4 linked regions of the Macaca mulatta genome follow. The protein of the gene in region 4 interacts with the protein of the main gene of each other region in a pairwise test. Links are inferred from orthologs where the notes say so. Each region holds a gene or a part of one and is shown on either strand. Other genes may lie near its edges.

The links. The genes of interacting proteins can lie anywhere in the genome.
Region 1: the proteins of RGS19 (region 4) and GNAI2 interact in a two-hybrid assay, tested with the Homo sapiens proteins (2 studies listed by BioGRID and IntAct). The link is inferred for Macaca mulatta from reciprocal best matches to the Homo sapiens genes RGS19 and GNAI2.
Region 2: the proteins of RGS19 (region 4) and GNAI1 interact in a two-hybrid assay, tested with the Homo sapiens proteins (2 studies listed by BioGRID). The link is inferred for Macaca mulatta from reciprocal best matches to the Homo sapiens genes RGS19 and GNAI1.
Region 3: the proteins of RGS19 (region 4) and GNAZ interact in a two-hybrid assay, tested with the Homo sapiens proteins (2 studies listed by BioGRID). The link is inferred for Macaca mulatta from reciprocal best matches to the Homo sapiens genes RGS19 and GNAZ.

The regions. Positions count from the first base shown.
Region 1 is NC_133407.1:113,710,040-113,714,032, reverse strand, and holds the start of GNAI2 (guanine nucleotide-binding protein G(i) subunit alpha-2), read right to left. Parts: upstream 2,801-3,993; 5' UTR 2,671-2,800; coding exon 2,553-2,670; exon of another isoform or gene 2,232-2,552; intron 1-2,231. UniProt on the Homo sapiens protein: Guanine nucleotide-binding proteins (G proteins) are involved as modulators or transducers in various transmembrane signaling systems.
Region 2 is NC_133408.1:139,347,589-139,351,622, reverse strand, and holds the start of GNAI1 (guanine nucleotide-binding protein G(i) subunit alpha-1), read left to right. Parts: upstream 1-1,234; 5' UTR 1,235-1,570; coding exon 1,571-1,688; intron 1,689-1,826; exon of another isoform or gene 1,827-2,486; intron 2,487-4,034. UniProt on the Homo sapiens protein: Guanine nucleotide-binding proteins (G proteins) function as transducers downstream of G protein-coupled receptors (GPCRs) in numerous signaling cascades.
Region 3 is NC_133415.1:29,524,276-29,528,448, forward strand, and holds the start of GNAZ (guanine nucleotide-binding protein G(z) subunit alpha), read right to left. Parts: upstream 2,801-4,173; 5' UTR 2,721-2,800; exon of another isoform or gene 2,536-2,720; intron 483-2,535; exon of another isoform or gene 362-482; intron 1-361. UniProt on the Homo sapiens protein: Guanine nucleotide-binding proteins (G proteins) are involved as modulators or transducers in various transmembrane signaling systems.
Region 4 is NC_133415.1:116,963,748-116,967,050, forward strand, and holds the end of RGS19 (regulator of G-protein signaling 19), read right to left. Parts: coding exon 3,250-3,303; intron 1,391-3,249; coding exon 1,316-1,390; intron 1,229-1,315; coding exon 994-1,228; intron 895-993; coding exon 703-894; 3' UTR 501-702; downstream 1-500. UniProt on the Homo sapiens protein: Inhibits signal transduction by increasing the GTPase activity of G protein alpha subunits thereby driving them into their inactive GDP-bound form. Binds to G-alpha subfamily 1 members, with the order G(i)a3 > G(i)a1 > G(o)a >> G(z)a/G(i)a2.

The DNA of each region.
Region 1 (3,993 bases), on a different chromosome or scaffold from region 4:
GTGTACCACATCAGCCTCTACCCTGGTGACAAGAACTGTGCCCGCCTGCTGGCAGAGCTACCCAGGATGGAGGGAGGCGATGTGCAGGCAGGGCAGCAGGCGTGGTTCTGGCTGGGAGGGAAGGCTGGCAGTTGCCCAACCTGAGTCCCGTTGCCTGGACAAAGTCTCCCGCTACATGGGACAGGCGCCCAGAACTCTGAACTTGCCACAGCTGGGCTCCCATCACCACCTTGCACCTGAATGGGAAAGGCATGGCTCAAGCCAGGATCCCTCCCCAGGCAGCCATGGCAGATTGGGTCGTCAATATCGGGCAGAGCTTAGTCAGAGCCCTTTGCAGCACACTGCAGGGTCTTAACTCCCAACCCACATCCCCAACAAGAACCACCAGGAGGCTCTTGTTCTCCCCACCCTGAGCTGGGATACTCCTTTGGCCCAAACCCAGGAAGCCCATTTCACAGGGTAAGCAAAGGCCAGAAGGCCAGGACCCCAGGGTGAACTCCCCAGGCTAGAAAGTGCTAAGCCAGACCCTGCCTCCCTGGCTGCTGCCAGCCCAGTGTGGGAGGACTTGCCGGGTCTCACTTGACTTAGCCCAAAAGCTGAGCTGGGCTCCAAGGAGCAAGTCTGGTGGGATCGGGGACCCTTCTAGTGTCGGGACACAAAACTAGCCAGAAGCCCTACGTTCCCCCAGCTCTATGGTCCAGTCTTGCATTTCCTCAGTCACCACAGTAGCTGCAATCAGCCTAGGGAGAGGCTGGCTAGAGACTCCTGGCTGGGCACTGGGAGGCAGCGGTACCGGAAGTGCCCTCCCCAGGCCCATCGGGCAGCAGCAGCAGTAGCAGCGATGGGCATTCCGCCGCGTCGACACCCACTCACTGCCGCTGCCGCACTCACAGCAGAGACAGGAAGAGGCAAGCGCCCAACGCAAAGCAGCCCAGGAGGCTGGGCCGCCGCCCCTTCCCGCCCCTTCTCTTCCTCCCTGAGGCAGCAGCGAAGCGGATGCCATTTTGAAACCTCCGAGGCTGTGCCCCGGAGGCTAGGTCCGCAGGGACAGTCAACAGATGGGCCCATAATGAACATACATGCTGTTCCTCGGCCACAGGCCCAGCACGAAAAGCCTTGCTTTTCACAGCCTGGGAGCCCCATGACAGTTCTGAAGCTGAGGGGCCACACCCCCCCAGGCAGTACTCAGCCTACAACGGTGCTGTGCTGTTGCAAGGGCCTCCCTCCCCCGACTCTAAAACCCCCAAATCAAAATCAGACTGCCACTGGGCACCACCCCTACTTCCAGTGGGAGGTTGGATGGGGACAGCCAGTAGGCCCACTGTCTTTGCAAAAGGCCAGCTGGGATGCTCAGAAGCACCCTGGCCCACCCCTAGCTGGCCCCTCAACTCCTCATTCAGCTAGTCCACCATCCCCCTTCACAGGGTCCCAAGATCCAACAAGCCCCCGAACTCTCAGTGGCTACATCCCAGGCCTTGCAGCCCAGAAGGGGTGTGGGCAGCCCAGCACCTACTAGCAGATCTCTTGGGCTCACCCGCAGGGGCAGCAATATGTCGGCTATCTCACCACTTCCACTTCCCCCCACCCCTCTAGCAGCCACCATCTTTCCTGGCCTTGGAGGCGACCACAACCCTAACTCCTCCACACTCTCTCCTACTTCCCAGACTGGCCTTCGAAACTGGAAAACATAGAGCCCGCAGAGCCTCCCTGGGAAGCCTGAGGCCTGGCCCCCTCCCACAGCTTGACCAGTGGAGCCTCAGTCCAGCCCCGTGGGGGTTCTTCGTAAGGCAGCCTAGGCCCTCTCCAATCCGGGGCTCCCTCATCCTAGCCCAGCCCACTTGGTGCAGGAGAGGTGGAAGGATTGGGGAAGGCCAGAGTGTAAGAGGACTTAGTGGAGGATCAGCAGAAGGTTTCGGGAGTGATGCTTGCAGAGAAGGATCTGGAGGGCAGGAAGCAGGGAGCAGGGCTCGCTGAAGGGGTTCCAGTTGGAGAGCGGGCTCAAGAGCAGTTTCCCATTCCAGAGGTTCCTTGGGTCAGAACGCACAGGTGGAAGACACAGATTCCAGACTGGGGATGGGGCACAGAGGGAGAAGGAGGGAGTGGGTAGGGGGCCTGGCAGGGGCTCCGCGGGATGCTCATGCCCAACAGGAATAAAAGGCGCAGATGAGGAAAACAAGTGGAGCCTGAGGGTTGGGGAACAAGTGGCGGGCATCCTGGGGGTTTGGGTAAAGTGTAAGGAAGGATGGCGGGGTCTCTGAAGTTCTGTGAAGCTGGTTAGTAAGGGGGGATGGCCAAGCAGGGCACTGGACCGCGGGTGTTGGGGCACTGTTGGCTGGATTTGGAGGTCTGGGATGAGATAGGGATCTGGTCTAGAGTCTGGGCAGGATCGAAGGTCTAGCCCAACCTAGAGTTTTCAACCCTGGTCCTGGCCCAGGTGTGGGGTCCCAGACAGCCCGAGTCTGGGAGTTCGAAGCCCTAGTATGAGAGGTCAAAGTCCTTGTCTGGGGATTCGAGCTGGGAATTAAGGATCCCAGTGCGGGACGCGGCCTCACCCAACAGCAGCAACTTCACCTCCCGCGCCGCCTTCTCTCCGTCCTCCCGCAGGTTCTTGTCGATCATCTTAGAGCGCTCGGCCGCCGCCTTGTCCTCGGCGCTCACTGTGCAGCCCATCCCGCCGTCCGCCGGCCCGGCCGCCGCCCGGCCCCCACACGGCCCACGGCCCGGCTCGGCCCCGCCCGGCCCCGCCCGACCCGCTCCGCTCCCACTACCAGCCCTCTGCGGGAAGCTCTCGGGTCGGCAGTTCAGAGCGTCTGCAGGAGGCGCCTTCCCGACCGCCGCGCACCGACGGCGGGGCGGGCCGGGGGTGGGGCCTGGGCTAACCAAGCCCGGGACTGGGCCGGGGCGGGTCTGGAGGCGGGGCCAGAGGAGATTCGAGGCTGGTGATTGGCTTGAGGGCGGGGCGAAGGGGGAATGAGGCGCAGCCCAGGCTCGGGCCTCGGCTGCAGGCGTGGCCACGCGGAGCAAAGGCAATAGGGGTGGATCCAAACCCAGGGACCCGGCACTGGGCGGGTTGCAGGCGGGGCCGGGCTGTGATTGGGTGCGGAGCGCCGGGAGCTCAGTTGCTGGACAGCCGGGAGGGCGGATCTGTTAGCCCGAGGGTGGGGATCCGGTGCCCTCGAGGACAGAGCAGGAACCAGCGCTCTGAGCTTCTGCGAGTTGGGCGAGTTAGGTGGAGGAGGCGTGTCTTTGTCATTTGTTAAAGTTAATGAGTCCAATAAACTTGTTTTGGAATCTACAGAACTCGGGAGCCTTTCTGGACTGCGGTTTTCTTTGTCTTAAGGCGGTAAACCGCCTTCTCCCTCTGGGTTGCAGCAAATCGAAAAAGAAAAAACAAAGGCCGGGCCCAGGGACTCACGCCAGTAATCCCAGCACTTTTGGAGGCCGAGGCGAGCGGATCACTTGAGATCAGGAGTTCGAGACCAGCCTGGCCAACATGGTGAAACCCCGTCTCTACTAAAAATACAAAAATTAGCTGGGCGTGGTGGTGGGCGCCTGTAATCCCAGCTACTCAGGAGGCTGAGGCAAGAGAACTGCTTCAACCCGGGAGGCAGAGGTTGCAGTGAGCCGAGATCACGCCATTCATTGCACACCAGCTTGGGCGACAGAGCAAAACTCCATCTAAAAAGAAAAAAAGCCGGGCGCGGTGGCTCAAGCCTGTAATCCCAGCACTTTGGGAGGCCGAGACGGGCGGATCACGAGGTCAGAAGATCGAGACCATCCTGGCTAACATGATGAAACCCCGTCTCCACTAAAAATACAAAAAACTAGCCGGGCGAGGTGGCGGGCGCCTGTAGTCCCAGCTACTCGGGAGGCTGAGGCAGGAGAATGGTGTGAACCCGGGAGGCAGAGCTTGCAGTGAGCTGAGATCCGGCCACTGCACTCCAGCCTGGGCGACAGAGCAAGACTCCGTCTCAAAAAAAAAAAAAAAATGGG
Region 2 (4,034 bases), on a different chromosome or scaffold from region 4:
CTAGCTCACAAGCGTGGTCTCAGTGACCTACTCGAAAGCTATTCTGCTTGTATCATCAGTTCAGCCTCACCTTGGAAAACTCAAGCCCAGTTTTCTCAAATGATTTTTAGATAATAAGATTTCCAGATGAAAACCAGGGAGCATTTCCCAATTTTTAATACATCAAGGAAGATGTTTTTCCTTGCTACCAGTCCCATTTTCTAATCAGTTAACGCTTCCTGTGATATCTGTAGGGGAAAGGTGTAGTGCAATTGACAGGGAGAGATGAGATCTTAAGCCTCTGCTCATTCATTGGGTGCTGAGTAGTAATGCCTCCTGCAGGCCACAGGAACTTATCTCGGGCGGATCAGTTACAGCTGGAAGGATGGGGCCATAGCCCCATAAATGCACTCCTCATTTTATGGGGAAAGAAGCTAAGGCCTGTAAAAACGACATGCCCAGTGGTACAGGAGTTACAAACACGGTAATAAATATTGGCTCAAAATTTGGCATGGAAGCTTATGTGCTGCTCTAGAGGAGATCTGCTATGATGTGGAGATTGGCTTGTTGTGGGTGTATTTTATTGCTCTTATCATTTAAAAGTACTTTTTGATTATTTGTCTCCCATTTTTTTAGGTTACAAGGAAATCCTTCAAAATGAGTTCTTGTGAAAAACCTGAGAATGGAAGGAAGGAGGGAGGGATAGGAAGAAGGAAAGAGAAGCAAAAGGTAGGAAGAAAGTTGACCTTGTTGCCCTTTCCTAGTCTCCTCCCCCGACTTTCCTGTTCTCCACTGTGTCCATCTCTGGTTTCACCAGGCTCCATTCCTTCCCCAGCTCCCTGTTTCCCACGGCCCTGAAAGCCAGCCGACAGGGATTTGCATTTTGAAAAGCCTTGTGTGGCTGCCGGCGCTGGGCATGCTCAAACGCCCAGAACTGGCTTTTTTCGGCAACTTTGGCAGCTCTCCCACCCCTACCCGAAAGGGCAGGTACGCACAGCTCCGTTGGTGTGAGTAAACGGAAAGAAATTACCCCACTCCCGCCCAGGGCAGAAGGCCACAGGCCCGCGGGTCAGTGTTGTGCTCCGGGGACGCTGCCAGGGGGCGCCGGGCCCTCGGGGGTGTCGCGGCGCCGCGGTAGGGAGCCGGGGGGCGCGCGCGCCCCTCCGAGTGGGCGCTGTCCAAGGGCACGTGCGCGGGCGCGCGCTCTGGGAGTGGTCGCGGGGTGGCAGGAGGGGCGGGGCCGCGGCGGCGCGCGGAGGCCGAGCTCGGCTGGGCTTGGCGAGGCTGCGGCGCGGCCACCGGCGGGAGGGCAGCAGTCACTGTACCCAGAGCTTCAAAACCCCAAACCGGAGACTTGGGGGCGCTGAGCCGCACCGGGAAGCAGAGCCTGGCCGTGAGGAACAGCCGCGCGTTGCTGTCTGCCCCTCTGCGGACGGCGTCTCTCTCGACTCCGCTTAGGAAGTGGTGGGGGTGGCGTGGCCCCCGTCGGGAGGCGTTCGAACGCCCGCTCAGAGAGAGAAAGGATTCCCCTGTGCTTGGAGCCCGCACTCGGGCGCGGAGGGAGCGGCGGCAGGCTCTCGCTCTCGGCAACATGGGCTGCACGCTGAGCGCCGAGGACAAGGCGGCGGTGGAGCGGAGTAAGATGATCGACCGCAACCTCCGCGAGGACGGCGAGAAGGCGGCGCGCGAGGTCAAGCTGCTGCTGCTTGGTAAGGGCGGCCGGGTCGGGGACCCCGGGTCGGCGGGGGACCGGGCGCGGCGCTCCGCGGTGACCGCTGCGCGGCCCTCGGCGTTTGGAAACCCGGAGGGAAGGGGAGGAAGCGCCCGAGGAGGCTTCCGAGCGGGAGCTAGGTCAGGCGGTGCGCAGCCGAGGCGGGTCCTCCTCTCCGGGTGCCCGGCCTCCCTCCGCCCCGGCGGGCGAGGACTCCCCGTGGTGGGGCGGGCGCGTCACTTCTCTCGGATGCCTTCGGCGACCCAGCAAAGAGCCCAGGCGCGAGTCCGAGGCGGCGGGTCCTGTGGAAACCCTTTGCTTTGAAGTTTAGCTCAGCCTTACAAAGACGAAGGGGCATTCGTGGCTAGAAAATAACCACCCCCCCACGCCGTCCCCAGCCCCCTCCCGGAAAACCCTTCTTCGTGTGAGGTGTGGGTTGTGTTTCGACTGTGGTTTTCTCATGCCCAGAGTGCCACGTTTGGTGAAATCAGTGCACCTTTTGTGGGGTCTCTGAGATGGGGCTGAAATGTCTTTCCTGTTAACTTCCTATGGCGACTCCTTAAGTGGTCAAGGAGCATCGATTACATTCCGCCTGCGCTGGGGAAAGGCTGCGCTGGATGCTTGATTTTTCTTGCTGTAGGGGCATGGAAGCCACCCAAGTGGGGTTGGGAAGCTTTGCTTTAGTAGTAGGCAAGACTCGAGTGGTGAAAACTGCTGTGAAAGGAGCGAGAGGGTCACGCCAGACAACACGGTTCTCCCTCCGCTGCCACCGTTTCTGATGAATGAGATTTGCCAGGTACACGCAAGGCTTTTATTTGTTCTTCGCACTGTTCTGTTCGTGAAACGCTACGTGGAGGTCTTTTCCAAATGTTTGACAGGGAAGAAAATAAAAAAGAGTAAACCAGGGTTTTCATTGAGGGAAGCAGTAGGAAAATAGTCACAGGTTAAGATTTGTGAGTTAGGGTTTTCTTTTGTTTGCATGTTTTCTTCTCACACTCTAGGTATTTAGATGAAAAATTTCTCAGAATCTTCATTTGCATTTCCAAGGACTGCTTTTATTTTTATACCAGTTATAATAAAAAAGAAATGTTGCACAAACCTGTTTTCAGTAAGCTTCTGTTTCATTGGTTTAATGACTGCAGAAAAAATGGTGGTTTTTTTTTCTCCATTACTAGTAGGCTTGGGAGCAGCAAAGTTGGCATGACTAAAAGTAATAATGATCTGAGTCATTTTGCAAGTAAACTGTGAAATAACTTTGCATTTTAAAGACCTGCGTGGCTTTTTTCACCCTCTCGCCCCCAACATAAGTCTTTCTCAGTTAATGCTGTTGCCTAAGTTTTTACATTATTAAGAAATACTGTGTTTTGAGGAGGTTAGTGTATCTGCTTCTCTTGTGAATTGAATGTGAGATAGATATGAAATGAAAGGATTAAAAAGTTTTTTTCTTGCAGTTTTTGCTCTCCTGGTGTGATATGTTGTTTCAGTGTATTTTTGTGTGACTCTTAGTTTGAGCCAGCCATCCACCATGTTTAAAGCAATTGAGAAATGAATCATCTGGTCGTGGTGTTTTGTCCTTTAATTAGGTGACTGTTAGGGATGGACTAGAATAAAGGTCCCAGGAGGAGGCTTTTGCTTGTGTTCAGAAGAGATCAGTGTGTCTTAACCTTAGCACGGTTGGCATTTGGGGCCGGGAAATTCTTTGTTGTGCAGGTTGTTTTTGTGCATTGTAGGATGTTCAGCAGCATCTTTGGCCTCCACTCATTAGATGGTAGTAGCAGTCCCCCAACCTATGAGCTCCAAAAGCGTTTCCACATATTGCTAGAAGTCCTCTGGGGGCAATATACAGCCTTAGTTAAGGACCACTGTTCTAGATTAACACTTAAATATAATTGAATGTATAATATAGAATCAGAAGGTGAATCTTTACAGTCATCATAGTGAGTTTGGAGAGAGATGTAGCAGAGGCCTTATTTTCAGAAGAAATTATGGAATTCTTATTTCTGTTTTGTTTTTGTTTGTTTTTTTGAGACGGAGTCTTGCTCTGTCGCCCAGGCTGGAGTGCAGTGGCCCGATCTCGGCTCACAGCAACCTTCGCCTCCTGGTTCGAGCCATTCTCCTGCCTCAGCCTCCGGAGTAGCTGGAACTACGGGTGCGTGCCACCATGCCTGGCTAATTTTGTGTTTTTAGTAGAGACCGGGTTTCCCCATGTTGGCCAGGCTTGTCTCGAACTCCTGACCTCAGGTGATCCGCCCGCCTCGGCCTCCCAAAGTCCTGGGATTACAGGCGTGAGCCACCTCGCCTGACCAGAATTCTTATTTCGTTAAACCAGTACTAGCACCATTAG
Region 3 (4,173 bases), about 87 Mb from region 4:
TGTGCTCCTTCCAGCCAAGCACAGTGCTCACAGGCACCCAGAGGCTTGGCTACCCCAGGTTTCCTTCCTGGAGGGTTCGGGAGAGCAGAGTGCTGACCTGCCTCCTCCAGTGCGCCCGTGCATCTGCCATGGTCAGCAGCAGTGAGAGTGCCTTTGCCGCCACACAATTAAGTCTTCTGAGGCTAGCGTGGGACAGACAGCACAGGGCTGCCTTCCCTGCCTCCAGAGGAGGAAGCTGCACACATGTGTTCACACACAAGATGACTAAATTCAGCATTCCTAAATTGCTATATTCAGCATTCCTGTCCTACTGGCCTCTCTGCGGGGGCCCTGGGCAGCCCTGTCAAGTCCATCCAGTTACCTGCAAATTCCTGGAATTGTTCTAGAAGCTCCTGAGGTCCAGACTGAGCCCCACCCACACTCCTGCATCGGGTTCCAGCCACTCTGGTGGGGCCTCCAGGTCTCTGAGGTTCCTCCTGAGACTAGAAAACAAAAGGCCTGAGAGGCTGGGGACAGAGGGAAGAATCCATTCCTGGTGTCCCAAACCCACAGTTGCATGCCAGGTCCCTGCAACTGTCCAGGCGACAGGCACAGAGCGCAGCAGCTCACCCTGCTCAGCACAGACTGCACACCCCACGAGGGCAGGCCCTGTTCTCGCTGCATCAACCTGGGCCTTGGCCAAAGCCAAGTGTGTGTTGGGTGGGGAGGGCAGGAACACCACAAAGATGAGTAACAAACAGTTCCTTCAGAGGGAGAGCAAAACATCCCCAGAAATGAGGGGGCTGACCTAGGGCAGAAAGTGACACCAGCTTCCGAGGGGGAGAAATTATGCCTTATTCACCTCCTGTCTCAGAAAATCAACGTCTGTTAGAGGAACACACAGGAAGACTTTTAAACCAGATGCCAGCATCTTCTCATTCCTAGAGAATGAGGCTTGCTTAAGGCGCATATTTTATCCAAGCACCGCCAGGCCATCCACACCCCCACTGCACCCCCTAGATGGATGCTCCCAGGCTGCCACGATTACTGCTCTCAAACATCCACATCCCAGAGGCACAGAGTCACCAGCTAAGCATCATCCCCAAAACAGGCAACTCAATCCTAACAAGGGGGTTGCCTGGGTGGTTACCCGGTGCCCTGGCTGTGCCCAAGGGAGAAGTGCCTGGAAGCACAGACTCAGACTGCAAGGAGCCTTCCCCAGTCTTTTAAGCTAGCCCTTCTCCAGGCCCACCCCAGCTCATGGGGTCATGGAACTGCTTCGCTTTTACAGATGAGGAAGCTGTGGTTTCCACCACAGCCACAGCTAACCAGCAGCGAGGTCATTCCACTTCCAAGCTCCCTCAGCTCCGTGCAGCCCCCACCCGCCTTTCCCGCCATACCTCCCACTCCTCCCCAGGCTTGCCGGTGCTCCCATTAGACCTAACCGCCCAAGTGCCTTGGTCCATTCTCTCCTCTCTGCCCACAATGCCCAGCTTAGCTGTGCCCATGTCCTTCAAGCTCCAGTTCAAATGTCATGTTGTCCACGGGCTCACCTGACCCCCCAGCGCAGGGCACCACTCTAAGGTCCCTACCAAGGCCCCTGCACCTGCACTCAGGCTGGGTTGGCCGAGTAGAGACGTTTTCCCCTATGGGGTGGAGAATCAGTTCTGGGAGGGGAGGCCCAGTCCACTCCCACCCGGTGCACCCCAGCACCAGGCCCTCGGGGAGTGAGCACTCAGTAAATATTTGCTTAATTGAATTTGGCCAAGGAGCCTTCTCCAGAGAGCTCAATCCCCAGGGCAGGGAAATCACTTGGGCAGAAAGGAGCCGGTCAGGGGCTGAGCTGTCTCCCCAAGCAAGACAGACCTCTCTACCAGGCGGGTCCCTCCACCTCAACACGGACTCCGTGGAACACTGGTCTTGCTTGGCATCGTCCTCTTGTCTCAGTAACAGGAGCCCCAATTCTCGGCCTAGGCCGAATCCTGCCATCATCACCCAGAAAGGCTCAGCACCGCCCTAAAGGCAGAGCCCCCTCGGATCGCCCGCAGGATACGGAGCGCCTGCCCTGAGGCCCTCACTCCCCTCCCCCAAACACCCCCACCGCCTTTTAAGGCAAAAAATATTGAGCCGGGAACGTATTACAATCGCAGCAGGTCGATACTCATCTCTTGCTCTAAATGCCTGTGAGGAACCTGCTCGCTTCAAGAGCAGTGAGTGACCGAGAACTACTAGCCGTCCGTCTCCGGGCCCAGGTCCTCGGGCCCAGGCCTCTGGGGCCCTTTCCTTGGTTTCGGGAAAGGCCCTGCATCAGCTCCGGCCGCCCCTCCCTGATCCCCCTCTAGGGAGACCCGCCTCAGCGCCGCTCCCGCAGCTCGCCTTGCCCGCCCAGGCTCCGCACCAGCCGCTGCTCGGGGGCGCCCGGCAGCCCCGCGCGGCATCCCCGGCGCCCTCTGTCCATCGTCCCGGGTCCGCAGCCGCCCCCTCCCGCGGGGTCATGGGCTTGGCGGCGCCTCCCTCCCCCGGCACCTGCCCGACCAGAGGCCGCCCCCTGCCCACCTCGCAGACGTCCCCGCCCTTGGTGTCCCCCACCCCTGACGGGCATCCCTGACGCTGCGTCCTGGCGGATTCGGGGCACAAAGGCCCGGGAGGAGTACCAAGTGAGGGCAAGGTGGACGCCCCGGTCATGCTCCCGACCCCCGAGGCTCAGCGGCGCGCGCCCGGCCGCGGGTCGGCTCACTCACCTCCGGGCCGCGGCACAGAGCATCTGCTGAGCTGCTCCTGGCAGGGCGGGGCGGGGCGGGGCGGCGAGCGCGGGGCCGCGGCGCCCTCGTTCCGTACGACGCGGGCGGCGGCGCCCACGCGGGGACGTGACCGGACCGCGGGCGGCGCACACGCTCCGGCCGGCCTGGCTCCCTCCGCCCGCCCTCCCGCGCCGCCCGCCGCCCGCCCGCTGGTCCGCCCGCCCCGCGCCGAGCCGCCGCCGGCAGGGGGCGGAGCCGCGAGCGCAGCCCGTTGCCAGGCCAACCGCGGGCGGGGGGTGCCGCGCGCCCGCCGGGCACCACGCGCCGGGCACCTCCGCCCCGCCACGAGCTCCGACCCTCTGTCCATTGGGCACAAGCAGCTGACGGACGGGCCAACAGTCCAATGGGGACGGACAGGGGCGGGGTCGCGACTCCGCGCGCGCCGCGGTCCCGCACGCGCTCCCCGCGCCGGCGTCCCAGTGACTCCGCTGCGCTGAGGCCTGGTAGCCGAGCCCGAGGGGCTACTTCTGGCAGCCCGGGAAAACGAGCCTGAGCCCAGTCATGGCCCTGGCCCTCTTAACTGCAGCCAGTCGTCCCGGCTCACCTTCTCTCCACTCGGGTTCAAACCCAGCTCGGCCTCTTGTGAGCTCTGCGTCCTTGGGCAACCGACTGACCTCTTCCAGCCTTTCTGTTTGCAAAGTGGGGCTAGTGGCACCTGCTTTCCTGGATTGTCTCACCAATCCTTCAGAACGTGTGAAAGGCCTATGCAAACCCTAACGATTTACAACGGTGAGGTTTGTGCCGCGATGGGAGGGGGCATTAGTCATCTCTGCTGCTCCAGTGTGTAGGGGCTCTTTGGCGTCCCTGGCAATCCTGGCACACGGAAAGGTGGCCTTGGGAGGGAAGGAAGGGAGAAGGACCAAGGAGCTGGCCCCCAGCCCAGAAAAAAGTGAGGGAGCCAGTTCAGTTAAGGCCATTGGCGCTGTTGGGAAGCTCGTGGAAAGCATCAGACCCTCAGCAGAATGCAGCTGAACCCAGGCTGCAAAATTCTGCTTTCAATTTCAAAGCCTGTCTGTGGACCTCAGGGCCAGGAGCCCCCTCACTTCCATGCTTAAAAGACTCTCAAGCCAGAGGGCCAAGACGTGAATGCTGCTCTCTGTCTTCTCCATCTTTGTAACCTGAAGCTTTGTGTATCCTAGAGCATCCCTGGCAAAGTGCAGATGCCTTCCCAGCTAACACCTTCCTTATCACCTTACACCTTTGTGGTCAAATTATGTGGATCGTGCCATTCTTTGAGCAGCAGCCCTGGACCTGACCATGGCAGAGGTCAATAGAGTGGTCTCTCCATCGTAGCTCTGTGGTGGGGAGGCAGGGGCTACTGTGCCTGGCTTTGCCAGCCGGACACTATGGCATCTCAGCATCATCCCGTAACCTCCCTGGGAATGTTTCCTCT
Region 4 (3,303 bases):
CTCATTCTCCAGTCTCTCCCCACACTTGGACAAAAATGAGTAGAGACTTGTGCTTTAAAAATATCTTCAATAATAAGACATCCTATTTTTGGGGGGTTAGGGATAGAGATAAATATGAAAACTTTTTTTTTGATAAAACACCTAGTAAGGATATGTTTCCAGGTTTAAAGTTCATGAACATATAAAACAGAAATTGGGTCCTGCCACCTTGAGTGCAGGATTCTGAGGTCCTACATCTGGTTCTGAGGTTCTGGGTTTGATTCTGGGGTACAGACAGCTCAAGTAGGAGGTCTCCTTATGTCATAGAACTACATGATGCAGAGGTTCTGCTCCCCACCAAGGCTTGTCCGGGGCCCGTCAGCTGCCTGGGGAAGAGGCCCCAACGAGGCTCCTGGGTCCAGCATGGCTCCTGGGGGGGCCCCTACTCTCACCATGCAAGAGCCCCCACCAGGAGCCCTGGGCCAGCCAGCTGTGGGCCGATGAGAAGGCTTCTGGCCCACCCTGCACCTGGAGTTCCTGCTTGGCCACGGGTGGGCAGAGCCAGGAGGCACAGCACTCCCCACTGGGTCTAGGACCGTCTCCACGGCTGGGGACCCCAGCCGGCCAGGCTGGGCCCGCAGGTGTGTGCCCCGACAGCCAACACCTGAAGGCAACCCAGAGTCGGCCATAGGAGGCGGTGGGGTCTGTGCTGCTGGGGGCGGCCTAGGCCTCGGAGGAGGACTGTGACGGCCCCTGCAGCAGCAGGGCACGGTAGGTGGGAGAGCTGAGAAAGCGTGGGTAGGAGTCCCGGTGCATGAGTGTGTAGATCTGCAGCTGTGCGTCGTCAAACGTGTGTGCGGACGGCTCCTGCATCTTCTTGTTGATGCCCTCCCGCACACGGGAGTCCAGGCTCACCTGTAGGACAAGGCACTGAGGTCAGGGGGCTTGGGAGGTGCCTTCCCCACCTAGTGCCCGGAGCAGGCGGCCCCCTGCCCCTTGTGGTGTCCGGCGCACCTCCTTGGGGGACAGGATGGACACGTAGTCCTCGTAGATGAGCCTCGCCTTCTCGTCCACCACGTGCTGGTTGGCCTCGGCCTTCAGCTCCTCACAGGCCAGCCAGAAGAGCATGTTCTCCTCGCTGTACTCTGTCCGCAGGAACGCCCGGAACACGCTGCGTCCCGCCGGGCTGTGCATCAGCTTGTCAAAAGACTGGGCCCAGCTCTGCACCTCCTCAGGACTTGGCGTGGCACTGCGGGCATTGGGGCCAGGCTACGTCAGGCTCAAGTCTCCCAGCCTGGGGCCCCCCAACACGCACACACCAGCCGGCTGGACTCACCATACTTCACAGCTGGGGAGGGGCTGCAGCTTGCTCTCCCGGGAGGCCTGCCACGCGCGCCGCCGCTCTTGGTTCCTAGTGGCAGAGAGGAAGCGGCACTGCCGTGGGCACACACGCCTCCATGGCCACACAGGCCCTCAGCACATGGGCAGGCATCTGACACACATGTGTACCCACTGTAGGAGGGCAGCCCCTGCAGCTAGCTCCTCCCACAATCTCCTGGGAAAGGGTGTCCATGCTCCCTGTCAGTCGTTCCCGAATTCTCCACGGAATCTGCAGTCCAGGTTACTGTCCCTGCCACAGTGCCCACGGACTCAGCCCTCTTCCATCCCAGCACCTTGACCCAGTGCCCGTGAGTCTCTGGCCCTCCAGGAGGGACCCTTTGGCTCCTGGTGCTCCTCCCCATCCCTGGCCCACTGGGCAACCTCCTCCACCCACCCATGCCCACCCCACATGAGGCTGAGAAGCAGGTATGCCACCTCCCCTTCTGCCTCTGCTCCCCTAGGGGAGATGGGTTGGGGCAAGCTGAGGGGCCACAAGGAGCTGGGAGATGCCTGAACACCTGGGATGCCAGAAGGGTCATGTGCCTGGGAACAGGGACACCCATGAGAGTGTGCCTAGGAACATGGCCACCCTGCTCCTCGGCCTGTTCTTGGCCTGTCCCTGTCCCACTGATGGGGCCACACGCTGCAGGTCTGGCATGTCAGCAGTGTGTCTCGTCAGCTGACACCACTGAAAGCCCCAAACCCATGTGTCCACACTGGTTAGGTCCTGGAGCCTGATCCCTGGTTCTCTCAAGGGAAACTGCTTCTTTGCCTTGGCTCCTAGTACCCTGTCAATGCTGGACCCAAATCCATAGCCGGCTGATCTTTCTCCAGGGCACGGCTGGCAGACATCGTGCACCCAGACGTCCTGACGGAACTAGGCCCCTGGGCTCCTCCCAGCCCCTTTCCCGACTGCCCCCTGGCCACCCCCAGCTTGCCCATGGGTCAGCTGACCCCACGTTGGGTCCAGAAGCGCTGTCCTCTCATCGGCCAGGGTCGGAAGGCATGAAAACATGCACCAGCTCCCCTACCCTCCTAGGAAATCTGTTACCATCTGGGAGCCCCACTCCCACCCTCACAGGGATGCCCAAAGACCCCCCCACCACCCTGTGCTCTTCTCCCCCGACGCATGCTGTCCGGGAAGCTCTTGGCTATCACCCCAGGGCCAGCAGTTGCCTTATTCGAGTCTCTGCTCAAACGTCCCTCCACCCCACACAGTCTGTGGGGTCTGTGCCTCTCTTTCTCTCTCTTTCTTTCTTTTATTTTGAGACAGAGTTTTGCTCTTATTGCCCAGGCTGGAATGCAATGGCGTGATCTCGGCTCATTGCAACCTCCACCTCCCAGGTTCAAGCCATTCTCCTGCCTCAGCCTCCTGAGTAGCTGGGATTACAGGCATGCGTCACCACACCCGGCTAATTTTGTATTTTTAGTAGAGACGGGGTTTCTCCATGTTGGTCAGGCTGGTTTCGAACTCCTGACCTCAGATGATCCGCCCGCCTCAGCCTCCCAAAGTGCTGGGATTACAGGCGTGAGCCACCGCGCCCGGCCTGTGCCTGTCTTACTCCATCGCAGGCCCCCAGGGCCCAGCCTGGGCTGGCTCACAGCAGCATGGATAAGCACATGCCGTGTGAACGGGCACATGCGTGTACACAGCACACCGACACACCCTTGGCAAGACAGGTACAAGAACCACACATAAGTCCCCTGGGCCCAAGGCACCGGCCACTCATCACCAGGGCCCAACAGACCCCAGACAGGACACGCCGCGAGGTGGCAGGAGCACCCTACCTGCGGGGATTCCTCAGAAGCCACCACTGGGTCCCCTCCTGGGTCTGCTTGGCCCCAGGCCCTCCAGCCCCTCTCCAGCTGGGCACCCCAGGCCCTACTCACCAGGAGCAGCTACAGCAGCAGCACCAGCATAGGCAGCAGGGGTTACGGCTGGGG